4 linked regions of the Diceros bicornis minor genome follow. The protein of the gene in region 1 interacts with the protein of each later gene in a pairwise test. Links are inferred from orthologs where the notes say so. Each region holds a gene or a part of one and is shown on either strand. Other genes may lie near its edges. The genes, in order: TPM3, LCA5L, TNNT1 and LURAP1.

Region 1 (7,326 bases):
CTTCTTCCATCTTCCCTCGTATCTGTGTCCCAGCCACCCTCTGCTGCTTCTATATGGGCAGTGTAGCCTGGCGATAGGAGAATAGGCTTTAACACTGGACAGCTCTCGGTTTGAATCCTGGCTCTGTCACTTGCTGTCTGTGTGGCCTTGAGCAAGTTACTTTAACTTTCTGGATCACAGTTCCTTATATGTAAAATGGAGATAATGCCTACCTCACTGTCTTGCTGTGGGGATTAAGTAAAGCACTTAGCAGAGAGGTGGCACATAATGCCCAATAAATGGTAACCCAAATGATGTTTTCCTGCCCTATAATAGTTTTTTCCCTTTTTATTTCCTCTCCATTACATGGCTGCCCCCCACCTCTCACCACACTCCCTCACCAACTCCTTTGATTCCTCTTTCCTCTGTTCACTTGGACCCACAGAACACCCCACCCCCTCTGCCTTGATCCCTGACCTTGGCCTCTGTCCCCAGGGCTTGTCAGTGCCAGGCTGACTCCAATATTGGCAGACTGGCCCCCTACAGAGCCCATGTCCTCTGATCCTCTCTGCCTACTCTGTCTGCTCTCATCACATCAACTGAGTAGTTCACCCTATTACACCCATCTAGCCCCTTTCCCTCTGTGGCTGGTGCCTTCTCCAGCTCCTCTGGCTCAGAAGGGCTTAGTCTTGTTTGAAATGGCTGTATAGAAGGTATTTCCAGAATAGCCAGAAAGCTTTCATCAGAGGTTATCTGATGTTTCTGCCTAGTTATGCCATCCAAAGTGTCCTTCTAAGAAAGCTGCTCCTCCCTACATCAATATTCCCAGTCTCTTCCTCTGTTCCCCTAGTGCCCTAAACACTAAAGTCCTTAAGGGCCGGCCCCGTGGCTTAGCGGTTAAGTACTCGAGCTCTGCTGCTGGTGGCCCGGGTTCAGATCCCGGGTGCGCACCGACGCACCGCTTCTCCAGCCATGCTGAGGCCGTGTCCCACATACAGCAACTAGAAGGATGTGCAGCTGTGACATACAACTATCTACTGGGGCTTTGGGGGGAAAATAAATAAATAAAATTATAAAAAAAAAAAAAAAAAACACTAAAGTCCTTTCAATTCCTGCTAGTCCCTTTCTCAGCCTCTTTCCCTCCAGCCTCTGGTTCTCCAAGGTAGTCAAGGTTCCCAGAGAAGGGAACTAGAACTTGGGGGGTAAAAGTAAGAGGGACGGTCAAGAAAGTAAAAATTACACACAAACTCCCATTGAGAGCCATAAAGGAACAAGGACATAAGACAACACCACAGGTGCCTACTTTGGGGGCTTGTATGCCCATTTGTTAGTCTTCCCCTGGAAGGCAAGAGCCAAACAACAAGAATTGACTGAGGCTTGGGACAAGCTATCGATCTAGATCAAGGGCACTGTGGAGCTGGTATATGTGTTTGTGTGTGTGTGGGGGGGGGCGGGTGGTGTCTGGACTAATGGGAACAAGGACACATGGAACAGGCCTGGGGGCTGAAGCAGAGCATTCTCCTCCCACCCCCACACTTCCACCCAAGCCCTCCACCCCACCAGTGCAGCTATAACCCGGGGTCCTTTCTGCCACAGTAGAGAGAAGCATCTGCCTGCCACAAGACATTCAACAAACCGGATTCTCTTTGGAAGAAAAATCCCTCAGAAAGGAACCAGGCTGGATCCCTGTGAGGGAAGACTCTTAGAGAAGCCAACCCAGGAGTTCTTGCCGTAAAAAGCCCCAGAAGAGGAGAGTCCTAAGGACAGCAGGCTGCTCTCTGGCACAGGGGGTTTCCTCCCTCACCCTTGATCTCCTCAAGTCTTAGTTTCAATTCTGCCAGGCAGGGGAGACCATAAGTCTTCTTCTCTGGAGCGTGCCAGTGAGACATGTCACTCTTCTCTTCTGGACATCCAAGGGTGACTTTAAGGAGGATGACTGGAGGACATGGGAAGAAGGTGAGAAGGGACAAGATGGTGGGAAGCAGCAGCCAAGCATTCTGCAAGTTTCTTGTGGCTACTTATCTGTAGTACTCAAGAGCAGGAGGGTTCCAGGATGGTGTCACTGAAAAGCCGTCAGCAGTCTTGTGGGGGTGATATGGAAAGCTTAGGAGTTCTGTTGGAAAGGTAAAGCAGGAGGACAAGCCCCCCACCCCCACCCCCAGAAAGCCTCAGGGCAGCTGGAAGGGAGTTGAGAGCAGGTGGCTAGGCTGACGAGGAGCTGCTGACACTGCTGATCCTCTGGGCGCTGGGGCCGTGACATCAGGGGGAGAAGCTCTGTGTAGGAGCTTTAAAGAAGGATAGGTGCCCGGACATGAAGCCCTGCCAGATATTCTCCCTGGTTTAAGCCAACGTGATCCAGCAAAGGCCAGGCACTGGTAGGAGAGGAGCTGAGACAGGGACGGCACGAAGGGCAGATGAGTAAAAGCCAGCTGTCTTGGGAGGCAAAGAGCAGGGTTTGGTGCCCTTCCCCAGGGAGATGGCTCTCCATCTAGCCATGCTTGGTGCCTGGTGTTTCTGCTTTGTCCTTTCTTTGCAGTGGGGGGAAGGCAGGTGACCACCACAGCTCTCCTGCCTGCTTCTGTGTGATATGTTTGATATTGGGTTGTTTAATTAGGAACCAACTAAATGTCAAACATATTCTTACAGCAGTGGGCACTTTGGCATCACACTCTTTACTACTTCAACCTCCAGGGCTCTGGGGCTCCTGTCTTTTTTACTGAACCTCTTCTTTCCAGGACCCCTTTGGAACACTAGTGGCTGCAACCTACGAGGATTTCAGTCTTAAACTGGAGGACTAGTGTGGGAGCAGGAGAGTGCTGGAATTTGAGTATCAAATCTTCCTATATCTTTCCCTTATGCTAGAAGGAATATATCTCTGATTTTCTCCTGTCCTTGTATTTTTCTCCTCCTTATTCAAACCCCCCCCCCCATTATCCACTGCTTCCTGTCCCTGGGACTTCCTTGTTCCTAGTCCCACAGTAGGGGGCTTTGGTTTCTCTGCTTTCCTTAAAGAGTCAGCTGATGGCGTATCTGCCTATCTACCTCTAGTGACTGGAAGCTCTCAACAGTGGACTTCAGTTTTGCCCTCTGCCCTGGTGGGTGTCTCAGCTACCCCATTGCTGGGGCTTAGTATTAACACTACCCATCTATCCTTGACATAATGACTAATTAGATCCATTTATATTCTTCCTTGATAGCTCTGGTCACCTTGAATAGTGCCCACCTCTCCTCTGGCATATTCTCAGATTGTATGGTGCCAGTGTACTGGGATCAACTGCCACTTGTCAGTAATGAGGCCCCAAGTAGAAGAATGAACATGGCCTAGAACTAAGCAGGGGAGAATAGAGCTGGTAATGATGATTATGATGATGAGCGTGGGGGGGTTGGGGGTAAGAAGGGAGCAGAGGGTGGGGAGACGAGAAGACAGCAACACCTTGGTCTATGTGGATATAGAAGTTCTCTTTAAAGATCACTATGGGAAACAGAGGACATGATCCTATCTAGATTACTCTGACCCTCCCCTGCTTCTCTCCCCACCCCTCTTGAAGCTCTGGGATGGCCTTCCAGATCCCAACCCTACCCTCTTACTCCATCCCTGTGGCTCTTAAGGGGGAGGAATGATGTCTCTCTGCCAATTAGAGACTCTCAAAATAGCACAGTAATTTGATCTGGAGATCTGGGGGAATTGTCAAGGATCATGAGTGACCTCCCCTCCTCACTGTCCCTCAAGCTCCCTGAATACCAGGAATCAAAAGGTAAAACTCAACCAGTGGAGTTTGATCAGCATCCAACACAGTCCGGGTGAGAGTAAGGGGGAAGCTGAAGGGCAACTAGGATCCGCTGAGTGAAAACTACCATTCTAGAGTTGCCAAAGTACCCTTCTCTATTTCAATATTCTCCCCTCCCCTCTCCCTGCTTTTTAAAAACACCCATAGAGCTGCCCAGAGTAAGTGGAAAGTTTCAGGGTCAGGGAAAGCCTCTCCCCTCCCCCACTTTCCATTGTCTAAAATCAGCCTCAGCTGTTCCCCCATTTTTTTTTTTTTGCTGGTGATGTCAGTCCATCGGAGTGGCTCACCCTGTATTCCCCCAGGAGAACAATGATGGGGTGGAGGGAGGTGGAAAGACCATATTAGGAACAAGAGGTGGAGCCATGAGCAGAGATAAAGGCTCAAGTCTGGGGAACTCCTAGACACTCTGCCAGCAGCCCCTCCTTTCTTGCCCTAGTCTCCAGTTCTCCAGTGTTCACAGGTGAGCCCACCAACGGCCACTGCTCACGATGGAGGCCATCAAGAAAAAGATGCAGATGCTGAAGTTGGACAAGGAGAATGCTCTGGATCGGGCAGAGCAAGCTGAAGCTGAGCAGAAGCAGGCAGAAGAAAGAAGTAAACAGGTAGGCCCTGGCGTTGGTCTCTCTTAGCCGCTGGTGAACACGACTGTGAGATGAAAGAGGGTTTGCACGCAAAAAGGCAGTGACCACTGGTGCCAGCTTGTTCTTTGGGTGGGAGGGACTCTGCTTCTTCCCCAGCCTCACTGGATGGGCAGAGGACATCTAGTGTATCTGCCTCAGACTGCCTGTGTGACCTTTGGAAAGTCAAGGGCCCCTTCTGAGCTACAGAGTGTCTGCTAGATTTAAGTGGGAGTGGATCATGTTTTGGAAGAATCCCTGATTTCTAGAAGAAAAGGTGGGAGCTTGATATGCAACATCTCTTTTTCCTTAAATGGAGTAACAGGCATCTACACCCTGAGATATTTACCATCCCAGGGTCTTAGATGAAAACCCAGCATGGCTTGGTCATCATCTTAGGGTCAGATATCAAAGAGTCACAGGCCAAGGACATAGCATAACTCCTGGAGCAGTTGGCTAGAAGTGACTGGGGAGAAGGTATGTCTCTCTGGGGGATGGTAACATAAAGGTTGGGCTCAGGGGTCTGTCTTAAGAGCCCAGGGTCTGAGCCTGCACTGTTGTGTACAGTATGTTTTGTGTGTGATTCTTGGGGCTCCTATAGCTGGAAGATGAGCTGGCAGCCATGCAGAAGAAGCTGAAAGGGACAGAAGATGAGCTGGACAAGTATTCTGAAGCTTTGAAGGATGCCCAGGAGAAGCTGGAGCTGGCAGAGAAGAAGGCAGCTGATGTGAGTATTGGAAAGATGGTGGGTGGGGTTAATCTACACACACAGATGTTCATGTTATTATGACTAAATTCCAAAGACACTTGGACATATACAAAGTAAATTCATAGAACACAGACATAGATGCCCCTATACATTTTTGCATATAACCACATGTTGGCATACCCTTGTAATGGCATAAATTTCTTTTTTAAAGACATGGAGAATTCTGATTTTTGTCTCATTCCCAACCCAGGAATTTAATTATCTTTCCCAGGACCTGAACAAAGGGAGGGGACTCTAAATCCAGATTGCTATCACTTATCTATCCCACCTCCTCCCCCATGCCACATTCTTAGCTTTCAAGGCTTGGCACGTAGATATGTGTATTAATAGAGAAACTCTCATCTCTCAACTCCCCAGCAAAGTCAGCTCAGATTTCACAATGGGACAAAGGAGGTCACATTGACGCTGGCCCTACATGGGTTTATTTGTCTTGGCCAATGTGGGCATCTGCCCTTATGCCACAGAGATGTCATAGTAAGCACTGCTCATAGGGCAGCAGAGAGGATCTTAGAATGATAGACTATAACAGAAATAAGAAGAAATCTTAGAGGGTAAAGGTATCACCACCAGACCTTACCCTGTGACCTTGACGAAATTACTCAGCTTCTCTAGGGCTGAATTTTCCCATTTGAAAATGAAATTCTCGGGGCCGGCCTGGTGGCACAGCGGTTAAGTTCGCGCGGCCTGGGGTTCGCAGGTTTGGATCCTGGGCATGCACTGACGTACCGCTTGTCAAGCCATGCTGTCGCAGCGTCCCATATAAAGTAGAGGAAGATGGTCATGGATGTTAGCTTAGGGCCAATCTTCCTCAGCAACAAGAGAAGGATTGGCATCGGATGTTAGCTCAGGGCTGGTCTTCCTCACCAAAAAAAAATGAAATTCTCTTTTCTTCTTCAAGCTATCCAATAATCACCTACTTTCCTTCATCTTCAACCTTGAAGTTTATCACAAAGATGAATGAGAGACCACATAGGAAAGACTTTTGGAAGAAAAGTAACATAGGAATCTTAATAGCAACAAAAGAATGTCCTGGTATTGATGGAAATAGATTCAGTTCTCAGCACTGAGTTAATAGGAAAAGTGGAGCATGTATTTTTTAAAATAGCATTTGGTTTTGGAAAATAGCTAGAGAGACAACGTGGGTCGTTCACAAATGTTTTTGGATTCTCACATTTGGCCTCTTTGCTGTTAGGTTTCTGATCTTCTTTTTGGCTTTCCCCCATTATCTGTGGCCCCAGGAAGTGGTGAGGGTTGTTGAGTATATCATGCCAGAGGTCAGAGACATAAAGTGGATCATACACATTATATATATTCATAGTTTCCAAAAGTTTAGGCCACTGCAAACTACTAATTCTTCCTTCTTGAAAAACTGCAAAAAACACAGGTTACCCCCAGGGCTTTGGGCAAGTGCCTGATGGCCTGCTGGAGTTGCCTAACTTAGATTCCAGGTATAGGCGGATAGAGCTCTCTGGTTCCAATAAACAGGCATCGAGATAGAAGTTTTCACAAACTGGAACAATGTCATGTTAATAACAGTATTATGAGATGTTGGGTAACAACTCTCTGGGAAAGTCCTTAGGTTGAAACAGTAGTTATGTGGACTTCAGGAGGTGTTTGCAGGAGCAACGAAAAGAACTAACCAGTCTAACCTGAGATCTTGGGAGACAAAGAATGACATAGAGGCTCCAGACAATATATCAATATCATTGGGAAGATAAAGGAACTTCCTGGGGATGATTCTGTCTGTCCTAAGCTGTTTTACACACATACACACACACACACACACACACGCAGCGTCATCCTCCACCTAGACAGAGTCTATTCAGTATATTCATTTGAAAGAAGCTTCTCATATTTATATAGGAATCCACAAAAACCATTTAAATATGTAATGTGTGGGTAAAAAAATGCACTCAACTTCTCTCCCCCTTATTAGCTTTCCCAACAAGTCAATAAGTACCCTCAGAGATATGTAGGAGAACAAGAAATAGGAGAGGAAGGTTGTGGGCAGGAGGCAAAAATCTGTTAGGCCTGGTTAAGGTGGAAGCAGGAAGAAAGGTTTTCTCAAAGCTTAGTAGTCAGCAAACTATCACCTGTGGGGTAAATCTTGCCACAGCCTGGTTTTGTACAAAGTTTTACTGGAACATTGCCATGCCCATTCAGTTACATATTG
Region 2 (7,062 bases), on another chromosome or scaffold:
GGTGAGAAGAGGCTGAAAGGAAGGCCTTTCCCCTTTCTGTTCTCTGTGGTTCCTGGTGTTAGTCTGCTGGAGAGGGAGTCCCTTCGGCGCTCCCTGAGGTCTTCTGCCTACACCTGACTACAGACAACAGGGCAAAAGGCGTCCCAAGCAACTAAAGGCAGCAAAATGACTTCTTTCTTGATATACCAATTTTTTGAATGAATCACAGGTTTTGGCATTGTACTGACAAAACACATCAAGGAAGGGTATATAATCAAAAGAGTTCTGAAAGTACATTTTCTACAAAAGAAGGAATAACTAATTTTTGAAAATCGAATTGTAGAAATATATTGCTTGCTATTTAAGTAAATCTCCAATATCTGACCAAAGCAAAAATCCTATCAAATTGAAGTCCTCATTGTATTCTTACAATTTTTCTCTGAAATATTTTTCTGCCATAAAATTTGCTTTTCTAAGAGGGGAACTGAAAATAATCTCTGATGTTATTGTTCTCTCGTGAATTCTGGGTCTGTATTGGTGGTTCACAATCTGGGGTTACCAGCCCCCAAGGTCAGAGATTTACTTTTAATATATCAGGAAGCTGAACAGACACGGAACATTCACTCGAGAAGGGGCTGCATGGGCTAGAACATTAAACCTCTTTGTTTGAGTTAGAATTATATTACCCCAGAATTAATTAATTACTTAATTACTTGCTGCTTAAATTTCTTTGGCAAACTCTTGCGAAACATGAGCTGTAAGGGAACAAAAGAATGAACCAAGGAAATACTTTATCATTCTGTGACAAAGCTTTGATGTTACAATGAGTGTTTTAAGTACATCATACCCTGGTGCAAGGATCCTCAGGGACATACAAAATTTGAGTTAAAGATGCATCCAAGATTTATTTCAAATAATTTCAGAGTATTTGTACACAAAAGAGTACCACAAAAGAGTTCTCACAAAAAAGTGAGAACAAACCTTCACTCTTCAGATAACGGAACTTAGGATTCTAGTCCAGTGTGAAGTGACTGAATTAATTTAGGTTGCTCCTAATTTATGACCAGGTATCTTGCATAAAAGACACAATAAATATTTGTGGAATAAATAAATGAGGAAACAGTTTTAACAAGTTAAATTATAAGGTGCTTAGAACTCAAAATTCAGTTCATTTCTTACAGAAATAGTTTTATAAATCTCATACAGTCCCACAAAAGCCTAGACTCTATATAAAATGTAGTGTATGGATCCATGATCTCTTGTCATAAACCCTTGTGGCCAGACTGTTTCTGAATTTTTAGAGGTTTATTTTTTATGGTGCATATATGGTATTTTCCAGAGTATTCCCAGTAGGGTTTGGGACAGCAGACTTTAATCAAAGAATATTTTTGTAGTGAAACATATGACTATTCACAGTAAGTGAGATAAACAAAGATCAGTCTCATGTCAGTTCAAATCAAGTTTTTGTTGCCAAGTCAGTTTTGGTGCCAAAGATATGAAAAATGTTTGGTTTTCAGAGTTTTGTAAATTTCAAATGCAGCTAAGGGATTGGGTAACTGTAAAACCTAACCACGGTGTATGTTCTGTGGTGAAACTCTCTTCCAGATACCATGAACAGACTTCTCTGGACAGAGTCCCACTGTGAGAGAAGGAACTGGACTTTTCATCTCCTGTCCTAGGCCTTGCCAGTGGGTGTACGACTCCCACGTCTCTAGAAAAGGGGCCTGTAGCTTTTTGAGAATCTGGTGAAAGCTATGGGTCCTTCTCCCTAGAAAAGTTCACAAACACAAATAGACACAAAAATGCATAGAACTTCATGGGGTTCATAGACATGGGTCTTACATAAAGAATCCCTGCTCTATAGCTAGGAAGAAGGGGAACTGAAGATTTTAGAGGATCTAGAAGTAGCCCAGGTGGTGCTAGGCACACCTGGTCATAGCAGGCTGGGGATGAGAGATACTGGATAAATGTGACTGTGGATGTGCCCCCCACATCGGAGGCTCTTAACTATTTTCCAGCTGTTGACTGACAGCAGTTCTGATGGTCACAGTGGAAAAGAGTCCCAGCTATTTCTACACAAGGAATATTTATAAGCCCAGGATTGCCTAAAATGGGAGGAAGTAGTCACATTCTGGGCAGGGAGGTGGGGAGTGAGGAGATCAAGATTATCACAAGGCTAATTCCAATTTGGACAGTTACAAGTTGATGGTGTTGGTACTTTTTTCTTTTTTTTGGTGTTGGTACTTTTAAAATCCACAAAGAAATGACCCTACTAATAGCTTTTTGAACCACCTCTGTTTCAAAAGATTGTCTTTGCCACTATGCCTCACCGGACTTGGAGACCATCTTCTTGGGGAGTTGAGACAGGTATTTATATTTCTTTGGCGATTCAAACCTTGATTCTTCAGCTAAGATGAAAGGCAAGATGCCACTGAAATCCAGGTATTGTGGTACTCTGTAACAAGGCCACCTGTTAACTAAAAACGGAACTAACCTCACTTGTAGGCTCCAGCAGTGTAAGCCATGCAAGAGGGCTAGGTTTTACATTTTAAGCCCAACTTTCTGTTATTTTGTAATTATTCTTAATTTCTCTATTTCCTCATATAAATGTTCACTTATAATACACATTTACAATATGAGAAAATAATGAAACAGAACATGGACCACATCAAATACTAGTGAATTAAACAGCAATGTTGTTATAACCAGAAATTTGGTCTCGGTTGGGAAATTCTGCTTCTTACCTTTAGGTTGGGAGATTTTAGAAACATTATACTTTTTCTTCTCCTCTTTTTCTTTTACCGCAGGCTTCTCTAAATAATTTCTATTGACAGCTGTTTCTGAACATTCAGAGAGAAAGTCTTCTGAATAATCGTAGCGAGAACTTAAACTTCTGCAGGAACACTGAGATCGGCTATAATCAACGCTCTTATTGGAAGCGTTACTGTTCCTCGGACAATCGCCTGTGTCCGGGCAGGTCGTGCACTCTGCGGACCTTGTACGGTTTTCTAATGCCACACTGGGGAAATGCTCATCTATTGTTTCTGTCGGATGGGCCCAAGACATAGTAAACAACCTGATAGAAGAAAAGTATGTTTAGATTTATAGCTATTGACATTAAAATGAATCTATGCTTTGTTATGTTTAACTCTAAATGGATAATTAGGAATGTGAAACAACACATTACTTTGAAGTATTTTCTGAAAAATTTTCAGTTTGGTTTTTATATTTTTTCTACATAAATTATAAGACTCCTGAGACCAAACTTTGGTGAGATTATATTCACAGTACTACAAGATCAAGTTCATATCAGAAAATAATATCGCTAATAATTTATGAATTAGTGAGTTACCTTCTCATTCTGTTACTTTTCATTTTTTGGTGAGGAAGATTCGCCCTGAGCTAACATCTGTGCCAATCTTCCCCCATTTTGTATATGGGACGCCACCACAGCATGGCTTGATGAGCAGTCTCCACACCAGGGATCTGAACCTGCGAACCCCAGGCCACCGAAGTGGAGTGTGTGAACTTAACCACTACACCACCGGGCCAGCCCCTTGTTTTCTTTTTTAAAATTTAATTATTTTATTGAGGTCATATTGGCTTATAACACTGTGTAATTTCAGGTATACCATTCTCATTCTTTAAGGCTGGCCATTGGGATTTTCTGCCTTGATCAGAACTGAAGAAAATGACAGTATGTGGTAAGTTTAGGCGGCTGGTATGAAATGCAACATTTAGTAAATGAAATTCAGACATATTTGTGGAGATGCACACACTTTTATTTATTAATGATGAAATCACATACTTTTGAGATTAAACATATAGAGTAGAATATAATCAATTAATCTACTAGGTTTCTAGAGCTAATATTTATTCTAAAATTAAGAGTAATAGTGGGTAACAGTGATGTAAACTTGATCCATGATTATAAGGTTCTTTATATTTTAATTCAGGAAATTTGCATTCCTTTTTATGCTTTATTTAGACTATTATAACATGAATATGATTTCCTTGATTATATACTACATGACGACAGAAGAGACAATTCAGAAAAACATGATTTACATGGGAAAATCATCCAGGGATTGGAACCTTTTGGAAGAAAATCCACCAAATGGAAATTTTACATTTGTTTAATAAAGAACTGATCATATTTTCAGCTACACAAAACACAAACTTTTATAAATAATGGATTTGGAAAAATCAAAACTAAGTTTGCCTAATTATTATAAGTTTAACTATACAATGTGAAAAGTTAAAATCTTATTTGGGAACTAAACAAGAGTAAACTAGAGTAGACTTCAAAGAAATGTGTTTTAAAAGCTAAAAATGAGGGGGCTGGCCCGGTGGCATAGCAGTTAAGTTCCCTTGCTCTGCCTCGGCGCCCCGGGTTTGTGGGTTCAGATCCCGGGTGTGCACACTGCTCATCAAGCCATGCTGTGGCAATGTCCCGTATAAAGCAGAGGAAGAGAGGCATGGATGCTAGTCCAGGGCCCATCTTCCTCAGCAAAAAGAGGACTGGCAACAGATGTTAGCTCAGAGCTGATCTTCCTCTCACACACACACACACACACACACACACACACACACACACACAGACAAAAGCTAAAAATGAAAATGAAATTTGACGGTGTGATCCTAATTTCTAATCAGGGGCGTATAATACCACATAGTTGAAAGTCCTTGTAACCAAAGACCATGACTCAAAAATGTACTGAATTAAGACCTCTACAGAGTCACACTTCTTTTATTTAGGGTGGATTTGATTATAACTAAGAACAGTTTTAAAGTAATTTAAACATAGTAGTTCTTCATTTATGGATTTTAGTTTGGTGAATTATTCCCCAAAGCAGCTTCCCAGATTGCTTCAGGGTTCCAGGTAGCTAAAATAACTCCTCAGCTTTTTGCTCCTAGCATCTTGCTTAACATTCAGTGAAAAAAAAAATTATTGTATTTTACTTCCATTTTACTTTTAAATTCTTGGTATAGGGCATAGGCACTAGTATTAAACTCGACTGAACTGAATAATCTGTGTGACAAACAAGGCTAGATGACAGTCTCTCTCCTATTTGTTTCACACAGACTCTCCCACACGTGCCCCCTAAGGTCTGCAACACTGCACTCAGCTTCTTGTCTTGATCTGAGGACTCGGGGAGAGAAGACAGCTCAAGCTAAAGGCACACTCCCTAACAATCCAGGAGTTTCATATGAAGAACAATGAGTCCATCTCCAAGAGAGCTCGGCTACTACAATAACTTTTCGCTTAGCCCTTATCCTTGATAATTTAGAAACAGTGGATTCCAACGTGCACACACTTTTGATACTTTTGATAAGCCTCTTAGTTGTCTGAAGTGAGAATTTAAAATGGAGAGAACAGGAAATCAAACACAAGAAGGACCCCAAATGTACGCCCTCAATAAAACCTGACTTTCGTTACAAACCTGACGGTTCTGCATTCTTTATAGTGCTACAGCACTGAGGCACAATAATGCCACCAGGGTCTCTCTTATGTCAGCCCACCTCAAGAGCAGTTGGAAACAAAGGAATCCATCTCCTGGGGTCTTTAAAAGGGTTATTTTTCCATTTAATACTCTCAATTCTCCGGATTTATCAAAAAAGCCAAAAAAGTTAGCTGGCGTCAGCTCCTTCCCCACAGGAATCTAATATCACTCTCTCTACTGAGAGATTTTTTTTTTTTTTAAATCAGTTTCTGCCTCTTCTGCATCTGCTTGACTCTCGAGCTTTCTCCTCTCCTGATGAAATATGTTAGGCAGTTCATAATCTTCCTCCTACAGGAATCTTAGCCCAAATCACTTGACTAGTAATATTAGCATTATACTCAATACTTAACGTGCTTTGACTTTCTACAAACTGCGCTCACATCCTCTGATCCTGGCTGTGAGAAGGGAACAGGCTCAGACAGGTTAAGTGATTGCCCATGTTTTCCAGCTTCAAGGTCAGGAGTGTTTTCATTAAGCATTGACTGCAAACTACACCCTGGTGGTAACATTACACAATCCTAAATCAAAGACTTGATCTTTCCAGACACGTTCTACCATGTGACAGTGGGCAGAAGCACAGGTAAACATTTTTAGTTTTGAACTTTTGCACCAGGATTAAGAGACCCAGATATTGGTGTAAGAGACCCTGAAGGACCAAAAATGCTTGGATGTCACACTCAAAGCCTCATCTGTCCTTGTCCTGGAAACTGTCCCACTCCACGCCTTCTTGCTCATGCCCTTATCCCCTAAGTTCCTCCCCACCCATCCTAATAAATTCAAATTGCCCAAACATTGGTTGCTAATCTGTAAGAAGAATTTGTTTTTGACCAGTTGTTCCTGACACAAGCTAAACTTGGCCTGACCTCTCCTGAGAAAGCCCTATAAGAATTTCCTCCTCCTTCCCCACCTCAGAGCACTCCCTTGAGAAATCTTCTCATTGTAGGATGAAGGCTTACGTCAAGAGTGTTTTTCATGTTATAGTCACAAATTTTTCAACAGCTGCCATAGGGGAGTGTGACAGGGTAGAAGGTGACAGACAAACTGAAGGCAGATTGACTTGGGTTTGAACCTGGGTCTGTCACTTATTAGATCAGGTGATCTTGGCCATCTATAAAATGTGAATAACGACATGGATTTCATAGGGTTATCATAGGGGAAATGAGACAGTGCTTGTAAAACACCCGTCCCGGTACCTGCCACACAGTCAGCAATCAACACATGCTAATTTCCCCTCCTGGAAGAGTCATTCTGTGCCAAATCCCAGGACTGCAAGGGCACTGCTAGTGTCTTCGAGAGATGCAACCAAGAGTCAGTCTATTTCCCCATCAACTGTTTTAGCGAGAACAAATGCTTGTGTAATCCCATTAGCCTGAAAACTCCCTGAAGATAGAGGGTGTGTCTTGTTCCTGTTGTAACTTCAGGCCTAGCATAGTGCTGCCACACAACCACTATTTTTAAATGCTTGAATAATCACCCCCCGACCACCCCCTGCGTATGCCAAGCGCAGAGGTAGGAGCTTACATACCTTAGCTTACTTAATCATGACAACAGTCCTGAGAAATAGGTATCATTAACCTTG
Region 3 (7,770 bases), on another chromosome or scaffold:
TGCGGGGAGGGGTCTGGGGAGGGACGCTGGAGCCCCAGGAGCGGGCATGGAGCGGGGCTGGGGGGTCCTGGTGGTGACGAGGCTCCGTTCCCCAACCCCAGGCGCCCGCCCCCATCCGACGCCGCTCCTCGGCCAACTACCGCGCCTACGCCACCGAGCCGCACGCCAAGGTGAGGGCGGGGCCCGCGCGGTGGGCGGGGCCGGGGCGGGGCCTCAGGTTACCCGCACCTTGGGAAGGAGGGGCGGAGCCAGGGCCTCAGTGGGGGCGGGACTTCGGTCATGGGCGAGCGGATGAGCGGCTTCAGGGGCGGAGTTTCTCACACAGCCGGGCTCGGATTGGTGAGAGCTGCCTATGGGTGGAGTTCCGTTGCCCGTGGGAACTGCGATTGCTTAGGGGATGGTGGGCGGTGCCTAGCCAGAGTCAGAGGCCCAGATTGGTGGATGGGGCTGAGGGGCGTGGCTTCCCGTAGTCTAAGAGCCGGAGTTGGAGGCAGCCCCAAATCTGGACCTGGCTTGCGGGGGGGGGAAGGGGGGGCTGCTCTGAAGTCCCTCCCACTGCTCACCTTCGGAACCCCGTCTCTGATCCTTCATTGCTCTGTGTCACCCTGGCAGAAAAAGTCTAAGATCTCCGCCTCGAGAAAACTGCAGCTGAAGGTGCGGATGGGCCTGGAGAGGGCGCCTAGGTGTCCTCGGGGGGGGCGGAGCTTGAAGGTTGGGGTGGGGCTTCGGGCGTGCGAGTGGGCGGGACTTGGCGTGGTGCGTTCCTGGGGGCGTGGCTTTGCGGCGGGGACCCACCTACGGGAGGGGCGTGGCCTTGGAATGGTGGACCTCGAGGGGACGGGTCTCTAAGGCGAAGGACGGGACTGGGATTCGAGGGCGGGGCGGGAGGAAGCAGCTTCCCCGAGAGCGCGGTCCTCATCCCGCTACCCCCGGGTGGGCGGTGGTCCACTCCGCAGACCCTGATGCTGCAGATTGCGAAGCAGGAGCTGGAGCGGGAGGCGGAGGAGCGGCGTGGAGAGAAGGGGCGGGCCCTGAGCACGCGGTGCCAGCCTCTGGAGTTGGCCGGGCTGGGCTTCGAGGAGCTGCAGGTACCGGTTCTAACCAGGGACTCTCTCTCAGCCCGGGGTCTGAGATTCCTACTCTCCGGTCTTGCATCCTTGGGACTCAGGAGTATAGGCACTATCCCCTTCTGCTCAGGACCTTGCGGTCCAATCTCCTAAACCTTACGTCGGGAGTTCAGAAATATGGCCTGCAGCTCCATGCTTGAGGGCTACAGTCTCAAAACCTAGAAGTCGGTTCCTGCAACTCGAATTCTGTCGGATTCTCAGGACTCTTGGCTCTGGAGTGCTGCTTTGTTCACAGTTCCCCAGAGTCCAGCTTCAATCTCCTCCCTCAGACCCAGGAGTCCAGGCCCCCAGCCCCTCCTCCCTCAGACCCAGGAGTCCAGGCCCCCAGCCCCTCCTCCCTCAGACTCAGGAGTCCAGGCCCCTAGCCTCTCCTCCCACAGACCCAGCAGTCTGGGTCCCCAGCCTTCCCCGCCCCACACACGCCACCGTTCCTCCACCAGGATTTGTGCCGACAGCTCCATGCCCGCGTGGACAAGGTTGATGAGGAGAGATACGACGTGGAGGCGAAAGTCACCAAGAACATCACGGAGGTGGGAGGCACTGGGCAGTGTGGGTCCCCTCAGGGTAGGGTGCAATGCCTGGGGCTGTGGTCTCAGCTTGCCCCCTGGCAGCTGCTTGTGGTTGCAGACACCAGGAGACCCAGGACAAGTCTGTGAGTCTGACAGGGAGTGGGCAGAAAGATGAGTACAGTATGCTCAGGGAAGGCTGTACCAGGCAGAGGGAACAGCACGTGCAAAAACCAGGAGGTGGAACAGTAGGAATATGCTTGTGGACATGTGTGGCTGGAGCTGAAGTGTTGGTAAATGAGCTCAGGTATGGGCCGGGGAACTGTGAGATGCAGGTAGCTGGACTGGGATGAGTCAGTGGTTTTCAGAGATGAGGCTGGGGCAGCTCCGGGAGGACTTCCAGTTCCGGAATGAGGAGCTTAGATTTTGTCCCAAAGGTGGTTGAGCTAGGGAGGGCCCGGATGCGGCCTGGATAGGATAGGAGGGGAGTTAGGGTGGAAGAGTGGGGCAAAGGGGAAGCAGAGGGGAGTCTCCACCTCCTCTTATGGCTGCCCCCAGATCGCAGATCTGACCCAGAAGATCTTTGACCTTCGGGGCAAGTTTAAGCGGCCCACCCTGCGGAGGGTGCGGATCTCTGCGGATGCCATGATGCAGGCGCTGCTGGGGGCCAGGGCTAAGGCGACCTTAGACCTGCGGGCCCACCTCAAGCAGGTGAAGAAGGAGGATACAGAGAAGGTGAGTGGGGCGAGGGCCAGGAAAGGGGGTGCTTAGAGGCGAGGATGTGGGAGGTGACAATGCCAGGGCCTGTCCTGAGGGCAGATGGTGCTTGGAGTGGTGGGGAGAAGTATCTGGTAAGGGTCCTCAACAGGAAGTACAGGAGGGACACAGGAAGTGCATGTGGGAGACAGGAAGTGCAGGAGGGAGACAGGAAGTGCAGGAGGGACACAGGAAGTGCATGTGGGAGACAGGAAGTGCAGGAGGGACACAGGAAGTGCATGTGGGAGACAGGAAGTGCAGGAGGGAGACAGGAAGTGCAGGAGGGAGACAGGAAGTGCAGGAGGGAGACAGGAAGTGCATGTGGGAAACAGGAAGTGCAGGAGGGAGACAGGAAGTGCATGTGGGAGACAGGAAGTGCAGGAGGGAGACAGGAAGTGCATGTGGGAAACAGGAAGTGCAGGAGGGAGACAGGAAGTGCATGGGGCAAATTGGAAGGGATTGTCTGAGGGGACAAGACGTGTTCCAGAACCAGGTTCTGGGACAGGCGTCCAGAATAGAGCAGCCCAGCAGGCTGGAGGGCAGCTGGAGGATATTCGAGAGATTGTGGACCAGGAAGAGACCCTAACCTCTGACTCTATTCCCCCAGGAAAACCGGGAGGTGGGAGACTGGCGCAAGAACATCGACGCGCTAAGCGGAATGGAGGGCCGCAAGAAAAAGTTTGAGGGCTGAGCTGGCCTGCCCACCGCTCTGGCCCTGAGGATGGCCTTGAGGAATAAAGCTTCTCTCTGAGCTGGGAGTGGCTGCGTGTCTCCTACCCGGGGGCTTAGGGGTGACAGAGATGGGAGACCTGAGGGCAGAGCTCCCCGAAAGCCACACCACACGCGAGGAGCTGAGCTGGGTCTCCAATATGGGGCGTTCTAGGCTCCTCTGCTCCACGCGGGCTGCACAGAGATGCCGAGACCAAGGCCCAAAGAGAGACAGAGACACAGACAGACAGACTGAGTCAGAGACAGTTACACAGAGCCAGAGACCCAAGGAGAGAGGGGGAAAAGGACAGAGAATCACAGAAAGAAATGCAAAGAAATGGAAAACAGAGAGACAGATACACACAGCGAGACAGAGACAAGGGAGACCCTACAGAGACAGAAACAGGGACCAAAGAGGAACAACTGCAGAGACACAAAGAGAGACCCCCAGAAAGAGCCAGAAAGATAGAGACATGGACACAGAGCCAGAGAGACAGAACTGGGGTCACAGACAGACATGCACGAGAGACCAGGAGACACAGACACCAACAGACAGACCCTGAGGGAGGCAGAGACGCAGAGACAAAAACATGCCAAGAGACATGCAGAGTGAAGAACACAGAGACAGAGAGAGACAGAGAGAGTCTGAAACAGAGAGCCAAAGAGACACCGCTGAGAAATGCATAGAAGACAGAAACAGAGATGGCAGACAGTGAGACAGAGACAGCAAGAGAGAGGCAGGGAGGGCGAGGAGTCCCGCTCTCCAGGGCCTGCTCCCCCACCCTTCAAGGTCACGGCTTGGCAGGGAAGCGGGGAGAGGGATACCAAAACAGACCAGTGTCAGATGGAGGTGGGGGGTGAGGTCCCGCGGGGCTGACACCCCACCCTCTCGCCTCCCCCGACACACACCTGTTTCCCAGCTTTAGTGCCTGTTGTCACCAGGGTGGAATCCCGGTGGCAGACAAAGGGGTGGGGGTGGGGAGGAGAAGACAAAGAGGGACAGAGACAGAGGGGGGAGCCTGAGAAGCAGAGAGAGATGCACAGAGACCCACAGACGGAGAGTCATAGAGACAGAGAAACAGGGTGTGAGAGGTGGAGGGCCAGAGAGACACAGAAAAAGTGACAAGAGCCATGCAAAGAGAAAGTGTCCCTTGTCCCCCTTTAGTCAATAAGCAGTCTCCAAGGGCCTACTGTGGGCTGAGCATGGGGACTTCAAAGCACAGGGTGCCCTGTGCTGTAAGGGAGGGGGGAGCCCCGGACCCAGCCCAGGGTTCCAGGAGGTGCTGATGGGGCAGAGGAGGGGGGTCCGAGCAGCCAGCAGGTGCCTGGATCCTGCCATGTGGAGCCTGAGTGGGGGCAGGGCAGCCTCTGACTGGGGACTCCGGTTTGGGGAAAGGCATTCTCTCTCCCTCCCTCTCCCCCCTCCCTCTCCCCCCTCCATCTCCCCCCTCCATCTCCCTCCTGGGGGCGGGGCTGAGCCTCCAGCTATAAACCCAGGGGTGCCTCAGTGGGGCCCAGCAAGACTCTGCCCCCGCCGGTTTACCGCCTCAGCAGACCCAGTCTTAGGTAAGGGGCCCTGGCCCTGCGGTGCCCTTGGGGGAGGGGCAGGAGGGGAGGGAGATGAGGGGTGTGGAGAATACGTATGGGGAAGGAGGGGGCAGGAAAATCAAGGTCTGGGAATTCCAGAGGCTCAGACTTTAGGGGGACTAAGAATGGAAGGGAAAGTGTTAGGATTTGGGTGTTACGGGATCCGGTGGTGCCAGGATTTGGGGAACAGAATATAAACTTAGGATCTCTCAGAGTCAGGGAATCTCAGAAATTGGGGGTATCTGGGCTTGGACGTCAAAGAGTCTGGGTGTCAGGATGGGGGTGGGTCTCAGAATCTGGGATTTTAGGAACTGAGGTCTCAGGATCTGAGGTCTTATGATTGGAGGCATCACAATTTGGAGTGTCATAATTCTGAGTGTCATGAACTGGGCCTCTGAGTTGGGGTATCCAGATTTTGGGGTCTCATGATCTTGAGGTTTCAGAATTTAGGGGGTGTCAATACCGGGGGGTCAAGATCTTGGGATGTGTCCCGGCCCATACTCTGGAGAGTCAAGAACCAGAGTGTCAGAATGGTCCTCAGAGAGCAAGAGCATCATACACTGGGGTCTCAGGATCTATGGCTATTGAGATTTGGGGGGACTCAAACTGGGCACCTTGGGGCCTGGGGGATCTCAGAGACTGGGGGCTCTAAGTATTTAGGGGTCAGGATGAGGTCTGTGGACAGAAGCTGCCCTCATGCCTCCTGCCCCCTCCACGGCTGTGGGTGAAGGTGAAGGAAGGAGACAGGTGGGAAGATGACCTGCCAGAGGGGAGGGGGGACTAACTCTCCCAGAAGCCCCCCCATCCCTTCTTAGGAAATGTCCTCTGTTTCACTGGCTGCGACATCCCCTCAAAATAGCCCCTGGGGGTGGGGCAGCTATTGTCTTCAGGCCACTGTCCCTTCCCAAATACCTTCTCCTAATCCCCACTCAGATCAGGTTCCCATGGACAGGTCCTAAGACAAAAGATGACAGCTGTGCTGAGGGCGTGGGGGCTGCAGGCCTGGGGCTCTGCCTGGGCCACACCTCCCAATGCCCTGTCCTCATGCACACTCCAGGCCTCTGGCCCCTCCTCCCTCAGACCCAGGAGTCCAGGCCCCCAGCTCCTCCTCCCTCAGACCCAGGAGTCCAGGCCCCCAGCCCCTCCTCCCTCAGACCAGGAGTCCAGACCCCAACACCCTCCTCCTTCTGGACCCCACCCCATTGCGTCTGTTCTCTGTGGTCCGTAGGTCACACCAGGATGTCGGAAACGGAAGAGCAGGAATATGAGGAGTGAGTGATGCTGGCGGGAGGGGCTGGGGGTTTGGAGAAGAGGAGACACTCTCCCACCTCCAACGCATCTAACTTTCCCCCTCCCTCTTTCCCTCCCACTCGGTCCTCAGGGAGCAGCCGGAAGGTGAGTGGACGGTGCGCTGGCCCTGGGGAGGTGGGAACACCCATGCGCGTAGCGTATGGGAAGCGCGAGATGGTGCGGCCCCTTCCCAGCAGGGAGCCGGGGAGAGAGGCGGGTTAGCCCACCCCGCCCGACGCCCACCCTCTGGAGCGTTTCCAGGAAATCTCCCACGGCCAATGGGAAAAGCGCACGGTGCCCATTTGCACCTGAGGCCCAGAGGGGTCCCCCCCGCCCAGCTGAGACTCGAAGACCGCTCTCTGGCCACCCCCACATCTGAATAAAGGCCCAGCCGCCCCCGGCCCCCCCGGGCTCCTAACGCCCTCCCTTCTCTGCCCCGCCCCTTCCAGAAGAGGAGGCTGCCCCCGCCGAGGAGGAGGAGGAAGGTGAGGCCCTGGCCTCAGCAGGTCTGGAGCTGGACGCGGGGCCCCGCCGGGCCCGGGTGGGGTGGGGACACTCGTCCAGGGGTGGAGGCTGGCGGGGCACGGGGGTCCCGAAGGCCTCGGCTTCAGTTCCTTTAACAGCCTCTCCCCTCTCTCCCCTCTCTCCCCCTCCCGCACCCGGCGTGGCCGCTCCCCCACCCCGCTCCCTCCCCCCCCCCGGCTCCCCCAATCCTCGCTTCTCCTCCTGCCCCCTCCCCAGCCACCGAGGAGCCGGAGCTGGTGGCAGAGCGAGGTAATCGCGGCTGCTTCGCTTCTCGAGACCGATTTCGGGGGCCCTGACCTCCGCGATGACTCCCTCCCGCCCCCATAACCCGCCCCAGGCCCGGTCCTTTAAGCCCCGGAGCGCCCGCGCGCCCTCTGGTGGCCACGAAGGGAAAATCACCTCGCAGCGGCTTTAACCCTTTCCCTTCCTTCTTAAAGGGACCGACACCCAAGCCTTCTTCCCCAGCCTGGAGGAATACTTACAGAAGGGTTGGATGTTTGCGGAGGGGCACCACCCCATCCCCCCTCATCTTCGCCCCCTACCCTGTCTGTTATTTTTCTTCTCCATATACATTCAAAGGTTGGGGCCTAGGTTGCAGAAGGGGCTAGCACTGGGAGTCCGGGTTCCTGTGTCCCCAAGGGGGAGGGGACTGGGAACACAGCTCCTGGGCCACCGATAGAAGAGAAGGTTTGGGGCCCCCCTGCACTGCTAGGTCTTGTTGGAGGAGGGCAGGAGCTCTGGGTATGTACAAGGAGGAGGGTCTGGGGATTTGGACCCTTGGGTTCCCAGGAAAGTGGGAGGGGATCCCCACACCAGTTCTGAATGTATATCTGATGCGTGTGATTCTCCTCCTCCTTCTGGCCACCCTGATTTCCCTTCTCTCCTTTTCTCCTTTCCTGCCCCCCCCCCCAGAGCAACAGGAGGAGGGAACTGGGCTCCTGGGGACTGAGGCTTGCGGGGGTTCCCTTCTCTGGGTGTGTCAAGCCCATCCCCATGAACTCTTGCTAATTATCTCTTTGTATCCCCCCAACAGAAGAGGAGCGCCCCAAACCAAGGTGAGATCTTGGGGGGGGTCCCAATCACGTCCTCCTAAATGTGTCCCCCACCCCCAGAGATAGGGTGTGAGAAAGGCAGAGGAGGAGAGTGGGGAAATTGAAACGGAGGACAGCACAGTCAGGGTTCCTTTTTTCAGCAAACATTTCCCGAGAACGTTCCACCATGTTTGGCGAGTCAGGCCCTGGTTGCCCTGCTGGTGAAACAGACCCAGATAC
Region 4 (7,149 bases), on another chromosome or scaffold:
CAAAGCTTTCTTGCCAGAAAAAGAAACACTCATTTCACACCATCTCTTTGGAAACGGGATAAACAGCTCAGGAGAGATGCAGCCTCAGAGGCCACTCCAACCCAATTCTCTTCCCAGGGGGATTCAGGTTGCTCACTCCTCCCCTTAACATGTCCACATCAGACTCTCTGCCCAGCCCTGAGGTCACAAGCATGGCTCCCACATCACTCAATCCAAATCAGGCCCTGAGGTAAAAGCCCAGAGATCCTCCCAGCCCTAGTTCCCTGGTCGTGGATTGAGATGCCCAGACTATTGTTACTAAGAAGGCTTTTAGAGACCATCTGGCCCCATAATCCCCTGACCCGCATCCCCCAAGAAGCACCAAAACTGAGGCCAAGAGAGTCAGGGCCCTGCTCAAGATCACAAAATGATTCAGGAGCAGAGCCAGGACTTGAACCCAAGCCTTCCCCCTCCTTGCCTAAAGCTTTTCCTCAAACTGCTCTGTGGGGGCTGGTTGTCATAGCAGCAGTTTTTGGGTGGGAGGATTAAGTAGCCAGAGGTTGCCATTGTTTCCACTCCCCATATATTTCAGAGTCTGGCTGGTTCACTAGACCTTTGAGTAGGGGAGGGAAGCAGCAGGGAAGAGGCTAGAGGCAGGGATGACCTTGGCCTCAAGGGCAGGCCTGCCCCCTCCCTGCAGGAGAGGGACAGCTGAAGGACAGGACTTAGAGGGCTTGGGCCGGTTCTGCCACAAGCGGCTCCAAGGGAAACCTCCTGGCCCACCCCTTGTCCTCCCCAGGAGCAACCCAGTGGGCAGGGCAGAGCGCAAAGAGATCAATGACATCCTGGCCCAAGGAGGGAGATAGGAATGGGGCAGGGATCCTTGGGGCACATAAGAAGCCCGACCCTGTTCTAGCCCCTAGAAGGCTCTCTCCCTCATGCCCTTCATGGACAGCCCAGGGCTCCAGGCCAGGCTGAGTCAAGAATGCGGAGAGACCTAATCAGGGCCCCAGGCCAGGCTGGGTCAAGAATGCAGAGAGATCTAATCAGAAGTTAAATGTACTAGGTTAAAGTTTACAAACAGGTGATCTCCACCAAAGGCAGGAAAGAGTTAGAGCCCAGGCCCAGCTCCTCCACTGGCTGCCTGTGGGAACTCAAGCAAGCCCCTTAACACTCGCCAGCATGTTCCATCTGTGAGACGGGGAATATGAGGACTGCTTTTCTCACCTCAATGACATAAAATGTGTTTTAAGTGTCTGGTACAAAGCAGCAGGTCTCAATGGGAAAGATGCAAAGTGTAGGCAGATCATCTGGGTGCAAAGCCTAGCTCTGCTTTTTACTTTTTATATGACCTTGGGCAGTTACCATCCTCTCTGTGCCTCAGTTTCTTCATCTATAAAGTATCACTTACCCAATAGGTTGCTGTGAGGATTAAAAGAACATCTTGTCAAGTGCTCAGCATGATGCCTGGCACATGCACTTGGTAAAAGTTAGTTTCCAAAGCAAGACACTCTAGATAGGCTCTTTCTAGGCCTTCAGCTAAAAGTACAATGAGGCAAAGCCAGGCCCCTCCCTGGGTGGACACAGTCACAGCCCCGCTCTGGAGAATTTGGCACTTATCTCCAACCTTCAAGGCCAAGTGCACACATGGCATTCAAATCCTTCCCCCAAGGAACCTTCCCTGATTGCTCTGCCCACAAGGCTCTCTCCAGCCTCTCAAGCTGTCTGGGACCCCATGACCTCCCCCCACCCACCCCTGCTGCTCCCTCACAGCTCAGCCTGGCACAGAGCTGGGCACACAGTGGGGCTCCAGGAAGATCTATTGGCTGACACACTCACTGTGGGCTCCTGGTTCTGGGCCAGAAAGTGGCTGGCAATTCCTCAGTTCCCCAGAACTGGCTGCAAAGTGGTGGCAGATGTAAATCAGCCCCTTCACCGGAACCAGGGCCCTAGGGAGCCTGGGGGGGCCCCAAGTGCCCTTTTGGCTCTGAATCTAGACCAGCAGCAACAGGGAAGGGGGAGGGTGCCTGTTTCCTCCTCTTCTCCCCAAGGAGGTACAGACGAGATCCAAATATCCAGTGTACCTGGGGAGCTGGGGGGAAGAGACTGAGTCAGTGACCGGGCCAACACTGATGGTGCTGTTGCTCTGTCTGCTAAGGTTCCAGGAACTTTCAAATACTTTAAGTGGGTGTGGGGGGATGTTGGGGAGAGAGGATGTTTTTGGTGGCCCCAGTCCAGGCAGTTTTCACCCAAATCCCTTCTGTGCTGAATCTTGTGTGAATACCGGGGCCTCAGAGGAACAAACCCTGGGCCCAATTTGCAGGAGGAGAAAAAACTGGTTGCCCTGTAATGGTGGCTGGGGGATAGGCAGCCCGGTAGTGAGGGGTAGGGGGGAGATTTGTGCTGTGCTAGGTTCTCAGGGCGTCCCAGTTCTCACCTCTCTCCTCCCAATTATTTGGCAGGAAAAACTTCCAAAAACCTGTGCCTCCCACCCCAGGTCCTCAGGACCCATCAATACCCCACTCATCCTTGGGGTGAGGGTGAGGGGTGGGAGTGGGGGTGCGGGGGTCTGTAATTAATGGACCCCAGGGTGTAAGGATTGATCAGGGAGGGATCCTGAGGAGTCAGGTGGGGAATTTTAACTCTCTCCTCTCCAGCCCAACTCTGGGGGCGTGAGTCCGTCCCTTCCGGTCCTATGTGGGGGGGGCTCCGTCCCTCTGGCAGGTGCAGCCCACACTCACCAGCTCCATCCTCAGCGCCACGATCTTGTCCCCCAGGCTGTGGCCCGTCCTCGGCGCCCCCGGGAGCATCAGGGCGCCAGAGGTTCCCGGTTCCCACTCGCCTCGCTGCAGCCCGCGGAGCAGCCCTTCAGGGGTCTTTCTGCCCACCTTGCCCTCCACGTCTCGCAGGTCAGGCGTCTGGGACTCCGCAGTCCCCTCCATGCGGGCCTAAGCCTGAACAGGGCTTGGGCGGCCAGACGCCGGGATCCCGCTCCCGGGGGTCCTCCTTTCTCCGCTGCTAATGCGGAGCGGAACCGGTGGGTCCCCGCCCGCGCCGCGTAGGGGCGGGAGGAGGGCGCCGTAACGCTCAGAAAAGCCGCGCAGGACACTGTTTGCGTGTGTGTATATATATATATTCGAGTGCTGCGCACGCTGCCTCTGGCCCTGGAATGCGTGCGGCTGGGCGATTCTGGGTTTGGACTTGAAGGAGCCCTCGGAGAGCTGAACGCCTTCTCCCTACCCTGGCACTGAATCCAGCCAGGCACACAGCAGGCGCCCAATAAATGTTTGCTGAATGAAGGCTAAGCATCCTCAGTTAGAGCTATGGGAATTTAAGGAACAGTGATAAAAGAGCTGCAGAGGGTTTTGGAAGGCTTCCTGGAGTAGATGAGCTGGGTCTAAAACAGTGATTAGAATTTAGCTAGTCACTGACACACACGCATACACCCACAGTGTGGCCGCTGAATTTATTTATTTATTTTTTATTTATTTATTTTTTGGGGGAGGAATATCAGCCCTGAGCTAACATCCATGCTAATCCTCCTCTTTTTGTTGACGAAGACCGGCTCTGAGCTAACATCTATTGCCAATCCTCCTCCTTTTTTTTTTCCCCAAAGCCCCAGTAGATAGCTGTATGTCATAGTTGTACATCCTTCTAGTTGCTGTATGTGGGGCGCGGCCTCAGCTGGAGAAGCAGTGCGTGGCTGCGCGCCCGGGATCTGAACCCCGGGCCGCCAGTAGTGGAGCGCACGCACTTAACCGCCAAGCCACGGGCCGGCCCCTGGCCACTGAATTTAGACTAAAGGAGTGGAAAGGAAAGTTCTTCTGGCCAATGAGGAGCAACCAGTATTGAAGCTGAAGAGGTCCACAAGGGCCAGATCATACGTGATCTTGATACTGATGCTTCTTAAGCTTGACTGTGCATATGAATTATCTGAGAATCCTGTTAATATGCAGATTACTGTTCTGTAAATCTGGGGTGAGGCCTGGACTTCTGCATTTTTAACAAGCTCTCAGGCAATGGCCATGCTGCTGGTCCAGGGAACACACTTTGAGCAACAAGGTAATGGAAAATGGTTCTAAGGTGCTTAGATTTTATTCCACAGGTAATGAGGAGCCATGAAAAACTTTTTATGGTTTGGCTTGGTTTTGGATTTTAATCCAAGTAATTCCAGTCCATGGTTACCGAAGGATTTACAATGAAAACATAGTTACCCCTGCCCTATCCTTTCCCACCTCTAGTCCCACTCCCCAGAGGCAACCACTTTTAGCTATTTTTTTCTGGTGTTTATACCTATAACACCACATAGGTTTATACTGTATCACTAGTTCTTCATTTTAAAAATTGTCTACTGACTTCCTATTATGATAAATACAACTTACCTTACTTACACTCCTTACTTCCCTTCTTCCATTGGCCCTATTTATTTCTATCATTATTTTTAGTTCATTCAATGGTTACCTTCGTAATTTTTTTTTTTTTTTTTTTTTTTTTGTGAGGAGATCAGCCCTGAGCTAACATCCGCCAATCCTCCTCTTTTTTTGCTGAGGAAGACGGCCCTGGGCTAACATCTGTGCCTATCTTCCTCCACTTTATATGGGACGCCGCCACAGCATGGCTTACCAAGCAGTGCGTCGGTGCGCGCCCGGGATCCGAACCAGCGAACCCCGGGCCGCCGCAGCGGAGCGCGCGCACTTAACCGCTTGCGCCACCGGGCCGGCCCCTACCTTCGTAATTTTAAGTAATATATTTCTCCTTAACATCTCTTGATTCATGAAAGGGTTTTAAATCAGAGATTGACAAAACAGATTTCCTTTTTTGAAAAATTACTCTGGATTTTGCAAGAAGAAAGGATTGGAGGAGTAAAAATCTGGAGTCAGGGAGAGCAGTTGGAAGGCAAGCAAACGAAAAGGACTGCACCAGGGGCTGGTTGTGAGGTTGGAGAAGAATGACACCAGAATGAAGGACTCTTTAGGGGGTAATATTGACACGATTTGGTGACTAATTACACTCATTTATTTATAGTGGCATTCAATAAATATTTGTTCAAAAAACGACAGATTTCAATAAGTATTATGGAGAGCCTACTATGTGCTAGCCATTGTGTGTGGTGCAGAGAATAAAGTGATGAGCACACAGACGTGGACTGGTTGCTGAACAGAGAAGAGGAATCAAGGGTGACTCCCAGCTGTTTGGCCTGAGGCCATTCACCAAGCAAGGGAGCCCAAGAAGAGGTCCAGGAGTGGGAAGAGATGATTCCAGCAGGAGTCGTGTTGAGTTGGAGGGGCCTGTGAAGATGTCCAGCAGGCAGTTGGACACAGGTCAGCCTGGAGCGCAGGAGAAAGGTTAGGACTGCAGATATGAGTCTAGGAATCAAGAAGGTAACCGAGGTCAGGAGAGGGGATGAGATCTTCAGGGAGACTGAGTTTGAGGAGAGACGAGAGTCAGGGAGGAACACTGAGGGACATCTTTTTCAAATGATAACAAAATGTATTGAGTTTTCTTCTGTTCTAATACGTAGTCATTAGGAAAAATCACCTATTGCCTCAACTCCTAAGACAAGTACTGTTAACATTTTGGGGGATATCATCCCACCATTTAGAAAACAGATGGACTACGGAGAGCTCAGAAAAATCTAACTGGTCTTCTGGCGTCCTGTTTCCTATTAGCACATTCTCCACAAAAAGGTAAAAGTTCTTTTAAATCAGATTATGTTGCTCTCCTGCTTAAAACTGTTCCATGGCTACCTACTTCAAATAAGTGTCACTGTCACCTAGAAACTTCTTAAAGATGCAGCATTCTTCTCTGCCCCAGATTACTGAATCAACTTCTAGGAATGGGGCCCAGCAATCTGTGTTTTTTTTTTGTGAGGAGATGAGCCCTGAGCTAACATCTGCCAATCCTCCTCTTTTTTTTTTTTTTTTTTGCCAAGGAAGACTGGCCCTGGGCTAACATCCATGCCCATCTTCCTCCACTTTATATGGGCGGCTGCCACAGCATGGCTTGACAAGCAGTGCGTCCATGTGCGCCCGGGAGCACACGCACTTAACCGCTTGCGCCACCTGGCCAGCCCCCCAGCAATCTGTGTTTTAACAAGCCCTCCAACAGATTCTGATGCACACTCAAGTTCAAGAACCACTGTGTTAAGCTAACTGCTTTATATGTATTATCTCATGTAACCTTCACATCAACTCTCTAAGTATTACTATGGTGCAGGGGTTAAGAGTGGACTCTGGAGCCAGGCCGCTTGGGTTTGAATTCTAGCTCTCCCAGCTTGGTGACATTGGGCCTCATTAGTAATAGTACCTACCTCATGGGGTTGTTGTGGAATTAAATGAGTTAATATAAGTAAAGTGTTTAAAACTGACTGGCATACAGTCTGCATCATATCAGCACACCCCTATTTCACAGAGAAGGGAACCTACGCCAAGACCTGAAGTGACTTGCCCAAGGTCTAGGTGATTAGCAGAATCAGGTTTTTAATGTCCCTCGGCCTCCAAAGGCCCTGCATGCCCCAGACCTGGGAGAAGCCTCGCCCAAGCAAGGGGCCAGGGTCGCTGTGTCCCAGGCTTGTCGCCCCTCTGACCCCGGAGCGCCGTGGGGTCTGGTCCAAGGCTCTAGGACTCCGACTCGCATCGCTTTGCCATCCGGCAGTGATGGCGGCGGAGAGGCTGCCCTCCCCCAGCAGCCCCCATCCCGCCGCCCGCGAAGCGGCCGCGGCTCCGAGCGCTCGCGGAGTCACGGGCTGCAGACCGCCCGCGCCGCCCTAAGCGCCGCCCGCCGCCCTCTCACCCCGCGGCGGCGGCGGCGGCGGAAGCGGGGAGGCGGGCCGGGCCGCGCCGGGGCGGGGCCGCGAGCGGCATGGAGGAGGCGGAGGCCTCGGCGCGCCGGGCCGAGCCGTGCGGGCCCGAGCGGGGCTCCCGCGAGGCTCGCGGCCCCTGAGCCGTGAGTGCCTCCGGGCGGGGGTCTTGGAGGGGTGACGCGGCCAGGGCAGGTCGCCCGAGTCGTCGGGAGCCCCGAGCCCCGGGAGGAGAAGAGTTGGGTCACGTAGGAGGGGGCGAGGACGGAGGACGGGGAGGGGGGGGTGGGTCGCTGCCCTGTGCCCGCTCTAGGACTGAGAAGGCTGGGTCTTGGGCCTTTTAGGGGCTGGTGAACCTTGAGAGCCGATTA

What was found.
Region 2: the proteins of TPM3 (region 1) and LCA5L interact in binary tests that used the Homo sapiens proteins (3 or more experiments, as listed by UniProt). The two-hybrid records come from large-scale screens. The link is inferred for Diceros bicornis minor from reciprocal best matches to the Homo sapiens genes TPM3 and LCA5L.
Region 3: the proteins of TPM3 (region 1) and TNNT1 interact in binary tests that used the Homo sapiens proteins (3 or more experiments, as listed by UniProt). The two-hybrid records come from large-scale screens. The link is inferred for Diceros bicornis minor from reciprocal best matches to the Homo sapiens genes TPM3 and TNNT1.
Region 4: the proteins of TPM3 (region 1) and LURAP1 interact in binary tests that used the Homo sapiens proteins (3 or more experiments, as listed by UniProt). The two-hybrid records come from large-scale screens. The link is inferred for Diceros bicornis minor from reciprocal best matches to the Homo sapiens genes TPM3 and LURAP1.

The regions. Positions count from the first base shown.
Region 1 is NC_080743.1:58,274,122-58,281,447, reverse strand, and holds the start of TPM3 (tropomyosin alpha-3 chain), read left to right. Parts: upstream 1-4,240; 5' UTR 4,241-4,255; coding exon 4,256-4,369; intron 4,370-4,985; coding exon 4,986-5,111; intron 5,112-7,326. UniProt on the Homo sapiens protein: Binds to actin filaments in muscle and non-muscle cells. Plays a central role, in association with the troponin complex, in the calcium dependent regulation of vertebrate striated muscle contraction.
Region 2 is NC_080766.1:39,373,968-39,381,029, forward strand, and holds the start of LCA5L (lebercilin-like protein), read right to left. Parts: upstream 3,046-7,062; coding exon 2,724-3,045; intron 2,457-2,723; coding exon 2,310-2,456; intron 1-2,309.
Region 3 is NC_080773.1:33,187,362-33,195,131, reverse strand, and holds the start of TNNT1 (troponin T, slow skeletal muscle), read left to right. Parts: upstream 1-4,599; 5' UTR 4,600-4,663; intron 4,664-5,853; exon of another isoform or gene 5,854-5,912; 5' UTR 5,913-5,923; coding exon 5,924-5,955; intron 5,956-6,065; coding exon 6,066-6,079; intron 6,080-6,423; coding exon 6,424-6,459; coding exon of another isoform or gene 6,460-6,480; intron 6,481-6,715; coding exon 6,716-6,748; intron 6,749-6,936; coding exon 6,937-6,987; intron 6,988-7,532; coding exon 7,533-7,554; intron 7,555-7,770. Other genes in the region: TNNI3 (troponin I, cardiac muscle), read left to right, coding at 102-170, 326-339, 471-654, 957-1,088, 1,568-1,657, 2,192-2,368, 2,997-3,080. UniProt on the Homo sapiens protein: Troponin T is the tropomyosin-binding subunit of troponin, the thin filament regulatory complex which confers calcium-sensitivity to striated muscle actomyosin ATPase activity.
Region 4 is NC_080752.1:9,099,167-9,106,315, reverse strand, and holds the start of LURAP1 (leucine rich adaptor protein 1), read right to left. Parts: upstream 3,052-7,149; 5' UTR 2,922-3,051; coding exon 2,721-2,921; intron 1-2,720. UniProt on the Homo sapiens protein: Acts as an activator of the canonical NF-kappa-B pathway and drive the production of pro-inflammatory cytokines. Promotes the antigen (Ag)-presenting and priming function of dendritic cells via the canonical NF-kappa-B pathway.